2 linked regions of the Medicago truncatula genome follow. The main gene of each other region encodes a partner of the protein of the gene in region 2 in a complex. Links are inferred from orthologs where the notes say so. Each region holds a gene or a part of one and is shown on either strand. Other genes may lie near its edges.

Region 1 (7,455 bases), on a different chromosome or scaffold from region 2:
ATTGAGGGCATTACCCCAATAATAAGGCATGGTAAAGCAATTGGTTTAAGAGATAGGTAAAGCAAATTAAATTCCAAACATTAATGCAAAAAGTCAAGAGTAAACTACAATAGCTGTTCACGAATTCTCAAACTGAAGCATCCAATGGGATGGGAGTCAGCAAAATATCGCTTCAACTAATCACAAATTCGCACATTTTCTGGAAAGAAAATACAGTCCCCCATATTAAATCAGCTAAGAATAGGAAAGATGCGGGTAACGTGCTCCAATGGTACACTATCTGCAGTGTTTTTCTTCAAAATTGGATCATTAAATTCATTTCTCGGAAGGACGATGAGTTGACCCTTCCCCTGGCTTTTCTCAATAACCCAACCAGAGTTTTCTACTTGGTGTTCAAGGAATTTGTCCAAGGATAAACCTTCTACATTGATAGCCTATTCAAGTTTAACAAAAAATAAATGATCTTGTTAATATGCTTCAAAGTAATATGAGAAATCAACTGATATCTATTAGATCCGTACAAGTCTTCAAAATAAAAACAATTTCTACAGAAACCAACACTCTTGTACTTGACAAACAGTGAGAAGAATTCAAATAACTAACCGCCGAAGTTTTCAAGAATCATTTAACCCCAAAGGAATAAACAGAACAATAGTGTTGTATTGTGAATCTAGAAGTGTTGTATTGTATCATGTACGAGTTCATTCATCAAACCTGAGTTAAACTAGGTTTTGGAGACTTAATGAATCGTGAATCTAGAAGTGTTGTATTATATCAGTATGAGTTCATTCATCAAACCCGAGTTAAACTAGGTTTTGGAGAATTAATGTAATGTACTTTGAACTAGCAGAGACTAAGCCACACAAACTATTTTTCAGTAATAAACGAACCAATATTTAAATGGACAAAACTAAAAGCATACCTCAGCAAGCACAGTTCTGGGAATCTTTTGGTAAGTCAAGGATAGAACATGAATCGCATAGCCTTGGATTGCCTGCTCAAATCCTGCAATAAATTTCTGAAGTAAGCTAGCATAAAAGCAAGCATTAACAAAGTTGAACCTATAAGCTAAAGCTCTATCTTGAAATGTCTGACGTATATAAAACATTGTAGCAGTGCAGCTCTATTATAAGTAATAAATTTAAGAAAATCAATGTCCAACATATATATGATATTGTAGCAGTACAGCTCTATTATTTCCCAATAATATATCCGTGATGAGCGTATGATAAAGCTCTATCTTGAAATGCTTGTCATATATAAGATATTTGTAACCACAAGCCTTCCCAGGGTCACGACTCAATTAACAAGATATAGCAAAATTAAATCAGTATCAATCATGAATGAATATAATGTATAATCACCTGGCACAGCTTCAACTATATGACGACTTTTCGATGCTTCATCCCAGAACTGACGAAACCTTCCAGTCTGAAGATAATAAGAATATTAACTTATGATTTCAAAGAACTGCTTAAGTCATGGCAACTAATTGATGCATACCTCTAAATAGTGAGACAGAACAATCAGTGTCTTGAACTGCTCCTCCATTTGCTATTATTCATAGGAAACAAAAATTATTACACTAAAAGAAAACAAGACGCCACAGGGTACTGCTTAATAAGAAAGAAATGAATAGATCAGTAATACAGTTACACAATTCTCAAAATCAAATAGAAAATTTATAAAACCCAGATGAATACCAGACACATAGAAACCCTATGTAATTTTTTTTATAGACAAATGTCAGTATTTAATTTTTTTTAGAGGAAATGTCAGCACGTTAGTTGTTATATTAGTATTTTTCTCTCCTTTGCAAAGGTTTGAACCATGTTCTTTAACCCTTGGCTAAAACCAGTTGAGCTACCCAACCCCCCGAAATCCTATGTAATACTAAAGATTGACAGTCAATTTCATAAAATTAAAATTGATTGTTAGGTCCTTCTCAATCAAAGGCATCTAACAAGAGTGACTGAATCATTCAAATATCCAATAAATGATGCATGAGAACAAGAAAAACAACTACAAAGAAAAGAATACTTTGTAAGAACCATACCACACGTTCTGGAATCAAAAAGAGACACAGGCTGAAATCTGGAGCCGGCATGGCCATGAGAGCCTGTTGAAAAACAAAACCAAATATTTTACCAAGTGATAACATCAATCAACTATCTTGGCTCTGTTTAGATAAACACCTTATTTGAGGCTTACAACACAAGTGCTTATTATGATAAGCACTTGTGTTCAAGCTATTTATATAGCAAAAGATAAAATAAAGTTAAATTGTTTTGATATAAGCTATAAGCTATTTTCATAAGCTATCTTGAAGAATTTATGAAAATAAGCTGAAAACATCTTACGAACGATATTGTAATAAGCTGTTTTCATAATAAGTCAATTCAAATAGGCCCCTAGGCATATGATTTTTCGTTCACAAGTAATAAGCAATAAAAAAAAAAACAATAGAATTGAATACCTTAACCAATATGCGAGCTACAATCTGAGAACTCATTTTCTCAGATTCAAACTGCAATAATAAATAAATAAACAAACAAACAATTACTTGCAATCAACCTTTATAATTGTCATCAAGCAATAATCTGAAAATGACGATTAATAAGAAAATGGATACCTGGTAGAGGCGAAGAAGGCAGAGATTTGATTCGAGGCTGTAAGTTTGCGATGAAACCTGAAGAAATAATAATAAAAAAAAAGGATAGAAAATCGTTAATTGGAATTGTATAAACCCTAATTTAGTGATATGAATGATAAAAAAGAAAGGTTACCTGATCATTGACATAGTTTTCGAGATCTGGAAGAATATCAGGATTGTAACGATTGAATGCAACGAGCTGTTCGACAGTGTAAGCAGTTCCTCCCTGTCCTTTCTCTGCTGCTGCTGCTGCTTCTCTTCCCATTTCGAAACTCTCTCTCTCTCTCTCTCTCTCTCTCTCTCTCTCTCTCAGTTGATGCGCTAAACCCTAGTACTTCGCTATCTTACCAGTTACCTCAACGCGATTCACAAGGAAAAGTTAAATATATTATTGCTCCTTTTTCTTTAACCAAAAATGTTTTTTCGTCCTTTATAGTTTATATATATTTTAAAAAAAATATAATGTTTTAATTTAATATTGTAGATAAATATTTCGCCTCCTTTAAATTATAACTCGTTTAAATTTGCGTTTATCTTGCTCTCTTGTTGACATAGAACAACAACGTGCGTTCTTTTAAGTTTGATTATTTGTGTTAATTACGATGGATCGGTCCACATTGAGTTTTGTCATGACTTTAAAAGAAGCCTGCAAGTAGACAGTAGAATTAGATTTCTCGAATTAATCGATCATTGAGTTGGATATCAAAATTATAAGTTATTTTAACGTGATTTTAAATAGACTAAAAAAATAATTAATTTTGTATTGAAGAAGGAAATCACAAGTTATATTACAATATTACCCATTATTAATTAATGGTATAAAAAAAAAGAAGCTTAAAATCACAAGTTATTTTACAATATTAACTTTTTTATAAGGAAATATTAACTTTGCTTACCCTTGCTATATCTTTTATAGATATTTTTGCAAAAATTAAGCTTAAAATTTGATTTTTAGGTTGAAGCTTTTATTCTTCTGATTTTTGAATTATTAGCACTTTTAAAATTTATACTTAATTTATCTATTGTCAGATAATTCTAATTTTATGTGAAAAACCGTATTTTCCTAAACACGTCTAAAAAAAAATCATGAAAAAATTTAACATGAAATTGCATTTTGAAGAACCCCTTTGATTTTGACCAAGTCAAAGATATCAAATTTAATGACTTAGATGCCACACGTGTATTATATTATCTGAGTAAATTACATTTTTGACCCCTAACTGATCGGCGATATTGGCCCCCCGATTTACACAAACCGACAATTTTGACCCATCACTGCATTCAGCCGGTCAAAATCAAAGGGCATGTGTCACATTTGCAAGAGGGACTGAAATTGAGGGGCAAAAGTGCTATTTTGAAAATTTGGGGTTAAAATCGTTGGTTTGTGAAAGTTGGGAGGACAAAATTTTTATTCTTAGAAGAAGTGCTTAGGAAGAAAAAAGCAAGCTGAAAGAGGGCTAGCAAACCTTAACCAATATGCGAGCTACAATCTGAGAACTCATTTTCTCAGGTTCAAACTGCAACAATAAACAAATAAACTGCAAGTGTTCCTTATAAAATGACATTTCTTAAGTTTAAGGAACACAATCTACTATCTAAATGAGCTCCATTCTCCTAAGAAAAATAACAGTAATATAAAAATAGCTGCGTATTTAATATAACTATATTGAAGATGCTATAATATTTTAAAGACATTTACAATATCATATTGTAAATGAGCTCCATTCTCCAACTATAATCATATAATTGAAAGACATTTACAATAGTTCGTGTTTACAATTTTAAAAGATTTGATATAAAGTTCCACCCTGCCCATGTTTTCCTATTATGAGGGCTAGCAAAGTTCAAAGCAAACATGTCCTTGCTATTTTCATTAGATACACAAAAATCAACGAGCTTTGCTACAATTTCTGCGCTGTCTTGTATATGCTGCATGTCATAAGGGTTCATCCACAACTTATTTACAAATTGCAGCCTCCTTTGTTTTCCTACTGGAGGAACTTCCCATCTTGAATAAAGTAGTTCCCTCTCCTCGGCTGTAAGTTTACAGTTCACCCTCTTGGCAAGATACTCCCTTTCTTGCTTCAAAGCTTTGATGCTGCATTTGACGATTAATCAGTAGTAAAATCTCAACACTATTTTCTGAAATAAACCTTTTGAAAGACACTAATTATAAACATATGCATCTAATAGAATCATCAAAGACACTTGTATACCTTGCCGAAACTGAGTCTGCAGGCTCATCACCTAGAAGAGCAGGACTAGCATTCCCAAGCTCTGCCAGATGTTGTTCCAACCAAGTCAATCTTCTAAGTTCAACTTCCATATATACCTGATCAGAAGGATCTCCCCTTAATAAAAGATAAAACTGTGTCCGGTGCACCAGAGAAATGTGGCATAAATGCCATAACATGATAATTTGCTTTCTCTGCTGTTCAAATAGTATGTGCCATGATAAAGGAGATCGATCAATTGTATCCATTTCTTCAGTTATAGACTTGTTTGCTTCAAGCTCCAAAACCTATACCAGTGCAAAGGAAAAAAGCATCAACGTCAGTATATTATATATATTATTAACATGAATGAATTACAATGAAGTTAAACTTAAAAAATCAGCAGTAAGTATAGTGCTAAAGTAACTCCATCATTCCAAGTTATTTTCAGATACAAGTGGTTTTTAAAATGTCAAATTTTTCAATATATATTCAATAATAACTATAGTTTGGCAGGGGAAACAAAATGAAGATGGTTGAATGCGGAAAACAAAACTAAGATGAAGAAAATATACATGGCAGCACCATAATATATATAATAAATAGTGATTCTATCAAATCTTGCCTGGCAAACCAGAAGTTGCTTTTGGTAATGCAGCTTAGCCACTAGCTCTTTTAACTCGGTAATATAAACCCTGAAGCTCCGAATGTTCTCCTCAGCAGCATTCTTGAACATTTTCTGAATCTTCTTCACATTCACTGATTTTGATTGCTGCGAAGCAGGGCTATCTGCCCGTGATAAAATAGAATCACAACTTTCATCATCCTTTCGTGGGGTATCTCTATGCAACCTTGCATAAGTATCACGACCAGAGGAGGAAATAATGGGTACTCTGTTCTCAATTTCATGTTCTGTTGCTTTACGATAAGAGAGAGGCGAGCAAGGAGCTCGTATTATGTGTTGCATGTTGGGGCTGTTGTTTAATTTGAAAGGAAGAGTTTTCTTCCTTCTAAGTTGGGTCTTACTGTCTGGAGTCTCCTCAGTACCAAAAGCAGATACCAGTTTGTCTATAGATTTCTGAACACTTTCTAGCTTCCTCTCTAAAGATGTAATAGTGTTCCCTTGATTTTTCAGCTGGTTGATCTTTTCCATCAGGTTGGTCTTGTCTGCATTCACGATTTCTTCTGCAGTAGAACTAGCAGCTACCAAGTCTTTAATTTCAGACAGTACTTTCGACATGGTTTCAGCCGTTTCTTGATTTCCAAGATTATGGGTTGCAAAATCCTTATGCAGAACTTCAAGTGCTCGGTTTGCATCCTCGCAGAGTTGCAACTGCCGATGTTCAAGCTTTTGAATTTCATCGACAAGTATTGATGGATCAGGAGAAGCCAACAAGTTCTTCAGCATTGCCTGCCTGCTTACTGTTTCCGTTCTCTCTGGAGTATGTTTACCGATAGCCAATTCATTTTCCTCAGCAAAAGAAAGACATCTGACAACTTGACTAGAGGGTCCGTAATCACTTGATCCCTGCATATATTTGAGTTAGAAGAATAAAATTAAGGGTCAAACTAATGTGTCATGATCATTCCAGATACCTTCTGAACTTTATTTGCTCTTCTTTCAAGATCAAGTTGACATTGCGCAAGGTCTCTCTGTCGCCTCAGATCTTCCATATCCTTTTCCATCTGCAATTTCCATGAAAAGTGAGAATAATTACATAAAACTCAAGAAAAGTCAGTTTTCTTATATTTTTAAAATAATAAGCAAGTCTTTTACAGTTTATGCTAGTCTTCTAGACTAGAAGAGCAGCCGATCTGAAGCTACTTTACAGGATTTGATAATCAGTATTGCTACAAATTCCAAGACTTCCGTAAATGTTAAAAAATATGGCTTCATTATAATTAATTGACCATATTTTGAGCTAAGAGAAAATGCAAGAACTTTGGAAAATACAATTATAATATCCATCTATAGCTGGTAAGGGTCACTAAATTTGTTTCAGGCAGTAGGCTCATATATTTTACATGAAAGTTAAGACCAAGAAAGAACTATGTACCTGCTGAATTTTCAACTCCTTTTCAGCTAGCAATGACCTTAGACCTGCATGTTCTGGTTCAGGGTTTCTTAACTCTCCTTCAACCTGTTGAAAAGCACCACCCACAAATTAGACAGACTTCTTATAATATGATTGTTTTCTTTTTTGTGAAAAATACGAAAGCAATTGATAAATGAAGTGGTATTTTGAAATAGAAGATACATTACACTGAGTATTACAGAAAAGGACATATATTTCCGAATCATTTGAGTGACACAGACTAAATTCTGTAAGTAGCACTTTTGTTTACCAATATGAAAGTGAAGTGGTATTTTGAAATAGAAGATACATTACACTGAGTATTACAGAAAAGGACATATATTTCTGAATTTCCATTTGAGTGACACAAACTAAATTCTGTAAGTAGCACTTTTGTTTACCAATATGAAAGTGAAAGACAGTATGCCGTTTATGAAAATTAGTATTCATCACTCTTAAATTATTTCAAACCATTCTATTAAAACATATACCCTTTGCACTAGTTAATTTTTGG
Region 2 (7,808 bases):
CCAACTAACTAATCTCTGAGTCTTTCTTAATAGTTTCTCTTAGTCTTATAGTTTTTATGGGTCTTCCTCTGCCTCCAGGGATCTAACAATCCTCCATTTGATCTACTCTCCTTCACACAAAATCTACGTGTCTTATCTCTACATGCCCAAACCACCTAAGCCTATTTTCCACCATCTTTTCTACTATAAGTGCTACCCCAATTCTCTCACATCTGATTTTACCACACATCCCCCTAACATTCTCATCTCATGTACGCTGATTTTATTCTTGCGTTGGTTCTTCAAGAAACATCTAATAAAAGATATAGTGCCGAATGCCAAAGAGAGTCAGTGACACCATGAAATCAATCAATACACAAGAAGTTCGAGTTTCCCTTGAAGATGTAAAACACGCAGCCATAACTGTTTTGCTTCCTTAATAAAGGAAAACATTTCATGTTTCAAGGGTACAAGCACAGCCGTAATACAATTTATTAATTTTTTAAAAAAGTCCACTTCAAATGTAACTAGTTTCAGGGCAAGGCTGACAGAAATGCAGTTTTAATGACCCTTTTGTAAAGTGAAAAAACCATAAACTAGTGTTAATTGAAAAGGTCTTTAAATTAAGAATCTAATCTAAACTGGAACTTAGGTGTAACACAAGTGCATCATAACAATATTAATCTAATTTAATGCATAAAATTGAAATATGGTAGAGAAATGTTAAGAGGGGTGGGGTAATTACCGCTAATGAAGAGTTTGGGGGAAGTGAGAGTTGAATTGAGACGAATGGAAGTGAAATGGGAGCTAACAAGTGGGGATTGAGAGTGACGAAGCAAGCGGTGAAATCCAAAGAAAAATGCCATCTTATCTTGTTACCTGAAGCACGGAATCAGACAGAATCACCCACCGACGAGAAACTAACCTAGTTTGAGGTTTCACGGTGATGACGAGGATGTCGAGATACCTTAAAAATGTTTGTAGGACGTACCCTAACTTAGGGGTGTAACACCTGCCGAATGTTCTAGTTGACCTAATAGTATTGCTCCTCATAAGTAGGGCGAGGTTGAGATGTAGTGTAGGGTAGGAAAAGCCAAGATTTTATAAACCAACATTCACAAAATTATTTATATTTAACTTGTTGAGATGATTTTTGTAAAAGTTTTTTTTTTAGTAAAAGAGAGTCAAAACTCAAAAGATAGAGAAATGCACTGTTTCAACAATATTTTTAAGCATGCAAACCCTAAAAATATCATTAAAAAATGGGTTGAAATCTTATTAGGAATAGTATTCATAACAATAATTTGAAAAGAGTTTAGAAAAAAGTTAAAGTTAGCAAGTCAATCGACACTTTTATTTCCCTCCCTCTAGGTATAATTTAATTGAAATACACTTGTTGATCCAACTCTAAAGCTTTCGAGTGTATCACACCAAAATAGGCGGTTTGTCGTTAATTTTGACATTCTCCATGATCACGTCAACCATAGTTTTTGAGTCGTTTTCAATTTAAAGACAACGGAAACCACGTCTCCAAGCAAGCTACATACCCAAGTACATCCCCACATCTTGGCGCTAAGAGTATCCCAGGTTCCAATTTTACGTGAGTACACGATTAGCCATCTCTCGTAAAAGTGTCGTGTAAGACCACCACACCGAATAATCATTTGAGTGTCCTCATAGGCTCCGTCGCAATTAAGCTTGGCCCACCATTCCCGGGGCCTTTCCCAACCAATAAAAATGGCGTCTTCGAGGCAAATATTCATAGGGTAGTGGTTACAATTGTTTATGTCCTCGACCATCTCAAGGACAATGGAGATTGCATTGAATGGTCGTTGAAAATCATCTTCAAAGATAACTTTGCTCCTCCATATACATATGTGCCAGCAATCCACCCAAAAAAGTAGTTGTCCACTTCTTACTATGAGTTTCATGCAAGTGGTTGTTGATATTCTTGAAAATCAAGTACTTACAATTAAAAAAAGAAGAAGAAAAAACTAGTAATGTTATTAGAAGGGACTAACTAGATCATGAAGAGTGGTTCAGGGTATTCCCTTAAAACATGAAAAGTGGTTTTGTTATCTTTATCAAATCTGTAACGCATGGATGACATTCCAACACCATCTAAAATCCATTGAATTCGAGACTTATGAAACCATCAATATTATTGAAGCTACTGATTATTATATAATTTATTTCTTATTTTTTACAAAAAAAAAAAAAATGTCCAAAAAGTCTTAGTGCCGAAGAGTCACAGTTTCAAAATCACGAGACTATCGAAAAATTATAAAGATAAGAAGGTAAAATAGTTTTAAAATCTATCCACTTCCATTTTGAACCAAACATAAATGTAATTAAAATCCTCCCAGGTCATCATCTCTTGAACTAAGCAAACATTAAATGTTGAACCAAGCATAATGAGTATTTTAATCCCCTACCAACCCCTCCATTAAAATTTATCTCCTCCCAACCCCTCTTCTGAATGGATTTGGATTCTCTCTATTGAAATTTTTCTCAAGTGAAATCTTAACCATTAAATATGAGAGAGAAAATGAGAGTTAAATTGTATAAAAAAAAGTGGTTAATGGCTTTTAATGATGGAGATTAAAAATGGAGAAAATCTGAGAAAAATTTCAATGGAGAGAATCCAAATCCCTCACGAACCAAGCAAACATTAAATGTTGAAGTAGATCATGAGTCATTCCACTATCCAATGGTACATATCAAAGTTCAAGTACCGAGTGTTTTTTTTTAGATAATAAAAGTTTGGGGTGAGGAAATGTTGTCTTAATCCAAGACAGCGAGGACTTTGGTGCTCGAATAACACTTAAAAAAATATTTATGCTTATCCTCAAGGATTGGATAGTTCAATTAGTTTGAGCTAATGGTTAAATGAGTCAGAGACTATGAATTCAAATCCAAATAAAATAGTAAATATTCATTAACAATTAACATTACCATTAAAAGAAGCATGAAAATTGTTGTGTACACATCTAATAGGGCTGAAACACACCAGTAAAATACCAAAATACCTCTCGGCAGTTAACTGTCGAGGAATTCAGAAACCGACTGCAGTTAACTGCCGCGGAAACTTCAAACCTTAATTTTTTTTTTGACAAACCTTTTTTTTTGGTATTTTAAGTTGCCTACAAATACAAAGAATATCTTACAATTATAAATTAAATTAATCGAAAATTGATATGATCTAAGCCACATTTAACTGAATTTGACGATAGTGAGTTTTAAATAGTCATCTAAATCAAACCACGTATAATTTGAATCTTAATATCCGATAGTAAAAAATAAAAAAAAACTCTTGAAAAATCCAAATATAAGAAATGCTCGAGAAAAATTGCTAAGAGTCAAGATAGAATAAACAATGTTTACAAAGTCTGCAGCAATATAGAGACATTCACACACCAATGCCTCAAACTGATACTACAAACACCACCTGCACAAAAACAAATAAATAGAGAACCAAACGACTCTTGAATGCAAGTGTAATAAGAATCGAATCAAATATGCCTCCTTAGCTCCTTAAACCACACACACCAGCTGGCAGTTACCCAATCCGATTCTTCAAACAAGCACACTACCACCTAAGGATTTTGTATAATATTGGTCCTATATTAACTTGACATTTTTAAAAAATTCTATATATAATTTCACATGAATGCACATTTCCAATTTCTCACATGTGAATGATTCCACAAGAGTAAGAGAAGTTAGTTCATTCCAATAAACTTTGATTTATATCCAAAAATATTTTTCTCAACCTTACAATAAATATGAACATAATAATTCCCTATTAATACATTTTCAAGAATGTTTTATTAAACTTGAAACAAACATCCACGAGAGAAATCACTTGCCATGTGATAACCTCCAATTTTCGGAAGTTGGAGAAAATAATCTAACAACACTAGAGTGCATTAGTTAGAGGATAGAAAATGTGGACGAAGCTACATATATTTGTTTTGGGGCAGTCGCCACCCCCAAATACAAGAAATTTATGACAAATATATACCGAAACTCATACTCGTCCCCCTAAAGAAATAAGAATGTTACTCCTGTGAAACAGGATTAGTTGAACTACAATTACATGCATCACTCTAGTACTTTTCAATACACTCTAATTTCAATTCCTTTCCACGTCACTTGGTACATATATATACAAGTATTCTATCCAGTGCCTCACATTTAGTCATCTTCTTATAATGATATTAATTTTTGTGTATTGCTTAATAGAAAGAAAAAAAATTCATTACATTCGCCTCTTTTGAAATTAGTAGTATTCTTTTTGTTTGAGAGGGTAAAATAAGGCATCTTATTCATGTTAGCAAAAGAAAAAAATACATTATTTAAGTTAAAAAATATACGATCAGACTTTATGTGATTTATTATCATGTTACGTTCTCATAACTCCCAAAGCTTTTTTTCTTCAGAAATCAGAAATTTAAAACAAAAGTGATTAATTGATTTCAAACCAAGCAAATGACTCGACATTACATGAATTATTTTCGCCCCCTCTAGCAAAAATTTCTGGCTCCATCCTGAATGTGAATATTTCGGTTTTGATATTAATATTTTTTCAGTTTCTACATCATTAATGAGTAAAAAAAAATCTACGTCTTAATGATGAGTCAAAACCAAAGTAATATTTGTTTCTTTTTTACGATAAACTTCAATATTTGTTATTTCATACTATTTATTTTCCTGGGTTAAAAAATACATAACATTTTGAAGAGGCCAAACCCGACCCAATTCAATTTTCTTAGGCCCATAATAAGCTTTTACCATTAAAACCCTAACGCAACAAAACCGATAAGCAGCCGCTGAGCTTTTGCGCACTTGCATCCAGTTTGAGAAGAAGAAGAAGAAGACGCACTCAACTCTCAATTTCTTCGTAACAAAGCAAAAGCTGGACGGAAACGAAACCACTGTTTTTCATCGACAACGACAAACCGTTACGAAGTACGTTCAGATTTTCCTTTTTTTTTTTTCTTTCGATTTTCTTTCCACTCTCGACGATGCGATTCCGGCGCGTTTCCCGGCCGTTATGAACGACGGTGCGCGGGAAATTCCTTTTGAGAAGAGATCCACTCCGCAACGCAATTCTGAGATTGTGCGATTTGCGATATAAACTGATTCAATTATCGTTATTTTTGTATTCCAATAATACCAGTTTTATTGTTAATGGTTAATTTGAATCAGCTAATTAGATGTAGATGATTCACTTGATTTTCAGTTTATGATTATCATCGGTTTAGTGTGATTCTAATTTACAATTCCGCGAGATTTGACTATTGTAGAGAATTTTGATATGAAATTGTGTTTAACTGTTATTATTGTTTTTTTTTTTTTTATTTTGATTATCGCTATTTTCAGTTAATCTGCTCAGCTAATTATATTACACGAAGATGATGGCTTAGCATGATTCTTATTATGAATATCATCACCTTATCGTGATTGTAATTTACAATCTTTTGGCGTTTTTTCCTAGAGAATTTTCATATGAATATCTGTTTGATTGTTATTTTCGCTTAAATTTCTGCTACATTTAGTGGCAATTTCACTTGATGTCTTAGTTTATGAATGACATTGGTTTAACGTGATTCAAATCTATAATCTTGCGAGATTTACAATTTTTCTAGATAATTCTGATGTGAATTTGTGTTTTACAGTTGTTTTTGGATTACATTTTGTTTCATTATTATTTTTTAATTTTCATTATCACTCTCTCTTATTTACAGGGAGTTGAATTTTTGTGAATTTGCAATATGACGTCATTTTTGAAGCCTGAGAATGCTCTCAAAAGGGCAGAAGGTTTGTTCAGAAGATGACTATTTAGTTTCTATTTTTCTATTCTTCGTGTTCTTAGCTTGTCATTTGTTTTAGAGAATTATGCAATTGAATCACTTAAAATTTGATTTACAGAGTTGATCAATGTCGGGCAGAAGCAGGATGCTCTTCAGACTCTGCACGACCTGATCACTTCGAAAAGATATCGCGCATGGCAGAAAACACTGGAGAGAATTATGTTTAAGTATGTCGAGCTTTGTGTTGACATGAGGAAAGGCCGATTTGCTAAGGATGGCCTCATTCAGTATCGTATAATATGTCAGCAAGTGAATGTTAGCTCACTGGAGGAGGTGATCAAGCACTTCATGCATCTGTCAACAGAGAAAGCTGAACAAGCACGTAGTCAGGCTCAGGCTTTGGAAGAAGCCCTTGATGTGGATGACCTGGAGGCTGATAAAAGGCCAGAGGATTTGATGCTGAGCTATGTTAGTGGCGAGAAAGGAAAGGATAGATCTGATCGGGAGCTTGTTACGCCATGGTTTAAATTTCTATGGGAAACTTACAGGACAGTGCTTGAAATATTGCGGAACAACTCCAAATTGGAAGCCTTATATGCTGTAAGTATTCCTGATAAATAGAAATTAATTGCTTGTCATTAGGGCTATATGTTGTTGTTGCCCATTAACTTATTCTTCTTTTTTATTTCATATCATTCTACGTTTTATAGTTAAAAAACAATAATATGCAAGGCAGATTTACTTTTATGTCAAACTTATAGTCGATTCTATTGCCATATGCAGATGACAGCCCATCGAGCTTTCCAGTTTTGTAAGCAGTATAAGCGAACAACAGAATTTCGCAGACTCTGTGAAATTATCAGAAATCATTTGGCTAATCTTAACAAATATCGGGACCAACGAGACCGGCCTGACCTTTCTGCTCCTGAAAGCTTGCAATTGTATCTTGATACAAGATTTGAGCAGCTGAAAATTGCCACTGAACTTGAACTCTGGCAGGTTGGCAGCTTCTCATTTTTCCTTAAATCTTCACAAGGTGTTTATTTCATTGATGTTGGCAGACCTGATTTTTTGTTGCATGCAGGAAGCCTTCAGATCTGTTGAAGATATTCATGGATTAATGTGCATGGTCAAGAAAACACCTAAACCATCCTTGATGACTGTTTACTATGTCAAGTTGACAGAAATATTTTGGAAATCTTCAAGTCATTTATATCATGCTTATGCATGGTTTAAGCTCTTTTTGTTACAGAAAAGCTTCAACAAAAATCTTGGTCAAAAGGATTTGCAATTAATAGCTTCATCTGTTGTTCTAGCTGCACTCTCGGTGCCTCCTCATGATCGCACTCATGGTGCATCTCATTTAGAACTAGAGCATGAAAAAGAGCGAAATTTGAGGATGGCTAATCTCATAGGCTTTAATCTTGAAACTAAGCCTGATAGCAGAGAAGTGGTATTTAACTTTCCCTCATTTGCACTCCCAGTAGTGTATAGATATATGATTTGCTATTCTTACCATTTGTTTTTGTTTCTGTTTTGTCTTTCCCCAGCTCTCAAGGTCGTCACTTCTTGCTGAACTGGTAAGATATTCTCATTATTTGAAACAAAAAATTCTAAAGAAATTCCTATATAAATTTTTAATTTTGTTATCTTGATGTATATTGTTAAGGAATGGGCTTTCAACAAGTAGTTGAGTAACTGCACTCGTTATTTTTGTCCTTCAAATTTTTGGTGTTGGTCATATCGATTTGAATTTCTTTAATTTTCAACTTATAACAGCTATCGATTTTTGCATTTCATGGGTTGGTTTTGAATCTTTGTTGTGGTAATTATTTTAAACATATCTAAAAATAATTGCTTACATTATTTCCTGAACCTTTGGTGTGGTTGGGCACAAACATTATTTAAACACACACACACACACACACACACACACATATATATATATATATGTCTGTGTGTGTGTTTGTGTACTCTGTAAGGTTCAGGGGTTGGATAACATCTGGGTTAGTA

What was found.
Region 1: eukaryotic translation initiation factor 3 subunit A (region 2) and eukaryotic translation initiation factor 3 subunit K share a complex: the UniProt entries of both Arabidopsis thaliana proteins name them as parts of the eukaryotic translation initiation factor 3 (eIF-3) complex. The link is inferred for Medicago truncatula from reciprocal best matches to the Arabidopsis thaliana genes EIF3A and EIF3K.

What each region holds. Positions count from the first base shown.
Region 1 is NC_053045.1:59,750,876-59,758,330, forward strand, and holds eukaryotic translation initiation factor 3 subunit K, read right to left. Parts: upstream 3,012-7,455; 5' UTR 2,919-3,011; coding exon 2,787-2,918; intron 2,690-2,786; coding exon 2,633-2,689; intron 2,528-2,632; coding exon 2,477-2,527; intron 2,120-2,476; coding exon 2,057-2,119; intron 1,555-2,056; coding exon 1,504-1,554; intron 1,432-1,503; coding exon 1,365-1,431; intron 1,006-1,364; coding exon 923-1,005; intron 435-922; coding exon 231-434; 3' UTR 54-230; downstream 1-53. Other genes in the region: kinesin-like protein KIN-7B, read right to left, coding at 4,427-4,751, 4,870-5,174, 5,492-6,394, 6,463-6,552, 6,924-7,007. UniProt on the Arabidopsis thaliana protein: Component of the eukaryotic translation initiation factor 3 (eIF-3) complex, which is involved in protein synthesis of a specialized repertoire of mRNAs and, together with other initiation factors, stimulates binding of mRNA and methionyl-tRNAi to the 40S ribosome.
Region 2 is NC_053048.1:47,003,239-47,011,046, reverse strand, and holds the start of eukaryotic translation initiation factor 3 subunit A, read left to right. Parts: upstream 1-4,788; 5' UTR 4,789-4,950; intron 4,951-5,729; 5' UTR 5,730-5,756; coding exon 5,757-5,802; intron 5,803-5,913; coding exon 5,914-6,395; intron 6,396-6,578; coding exon 6,579-6,794; intron 6,795-6,879; coding exon 6,880-7,248; intron 7,249-7,345; coding exon 7,346-7,375; intron 7,376-7,808. Other genes in the region: organelle RRM domain-containing protein 2, mitochondrial, read right to left, coding at 725-845. UniProt on the Arabidopsis thaliana protein: RNA-binding component of the eukaryotic translation initiation factor 3 (eIF-3) complex, which is involved in protein synthesis of a specialized repertoire of mRNAs and, together with other initiation factors, stimulates binding of mRNA and methionyl-tRNAi to the 40S ribosome.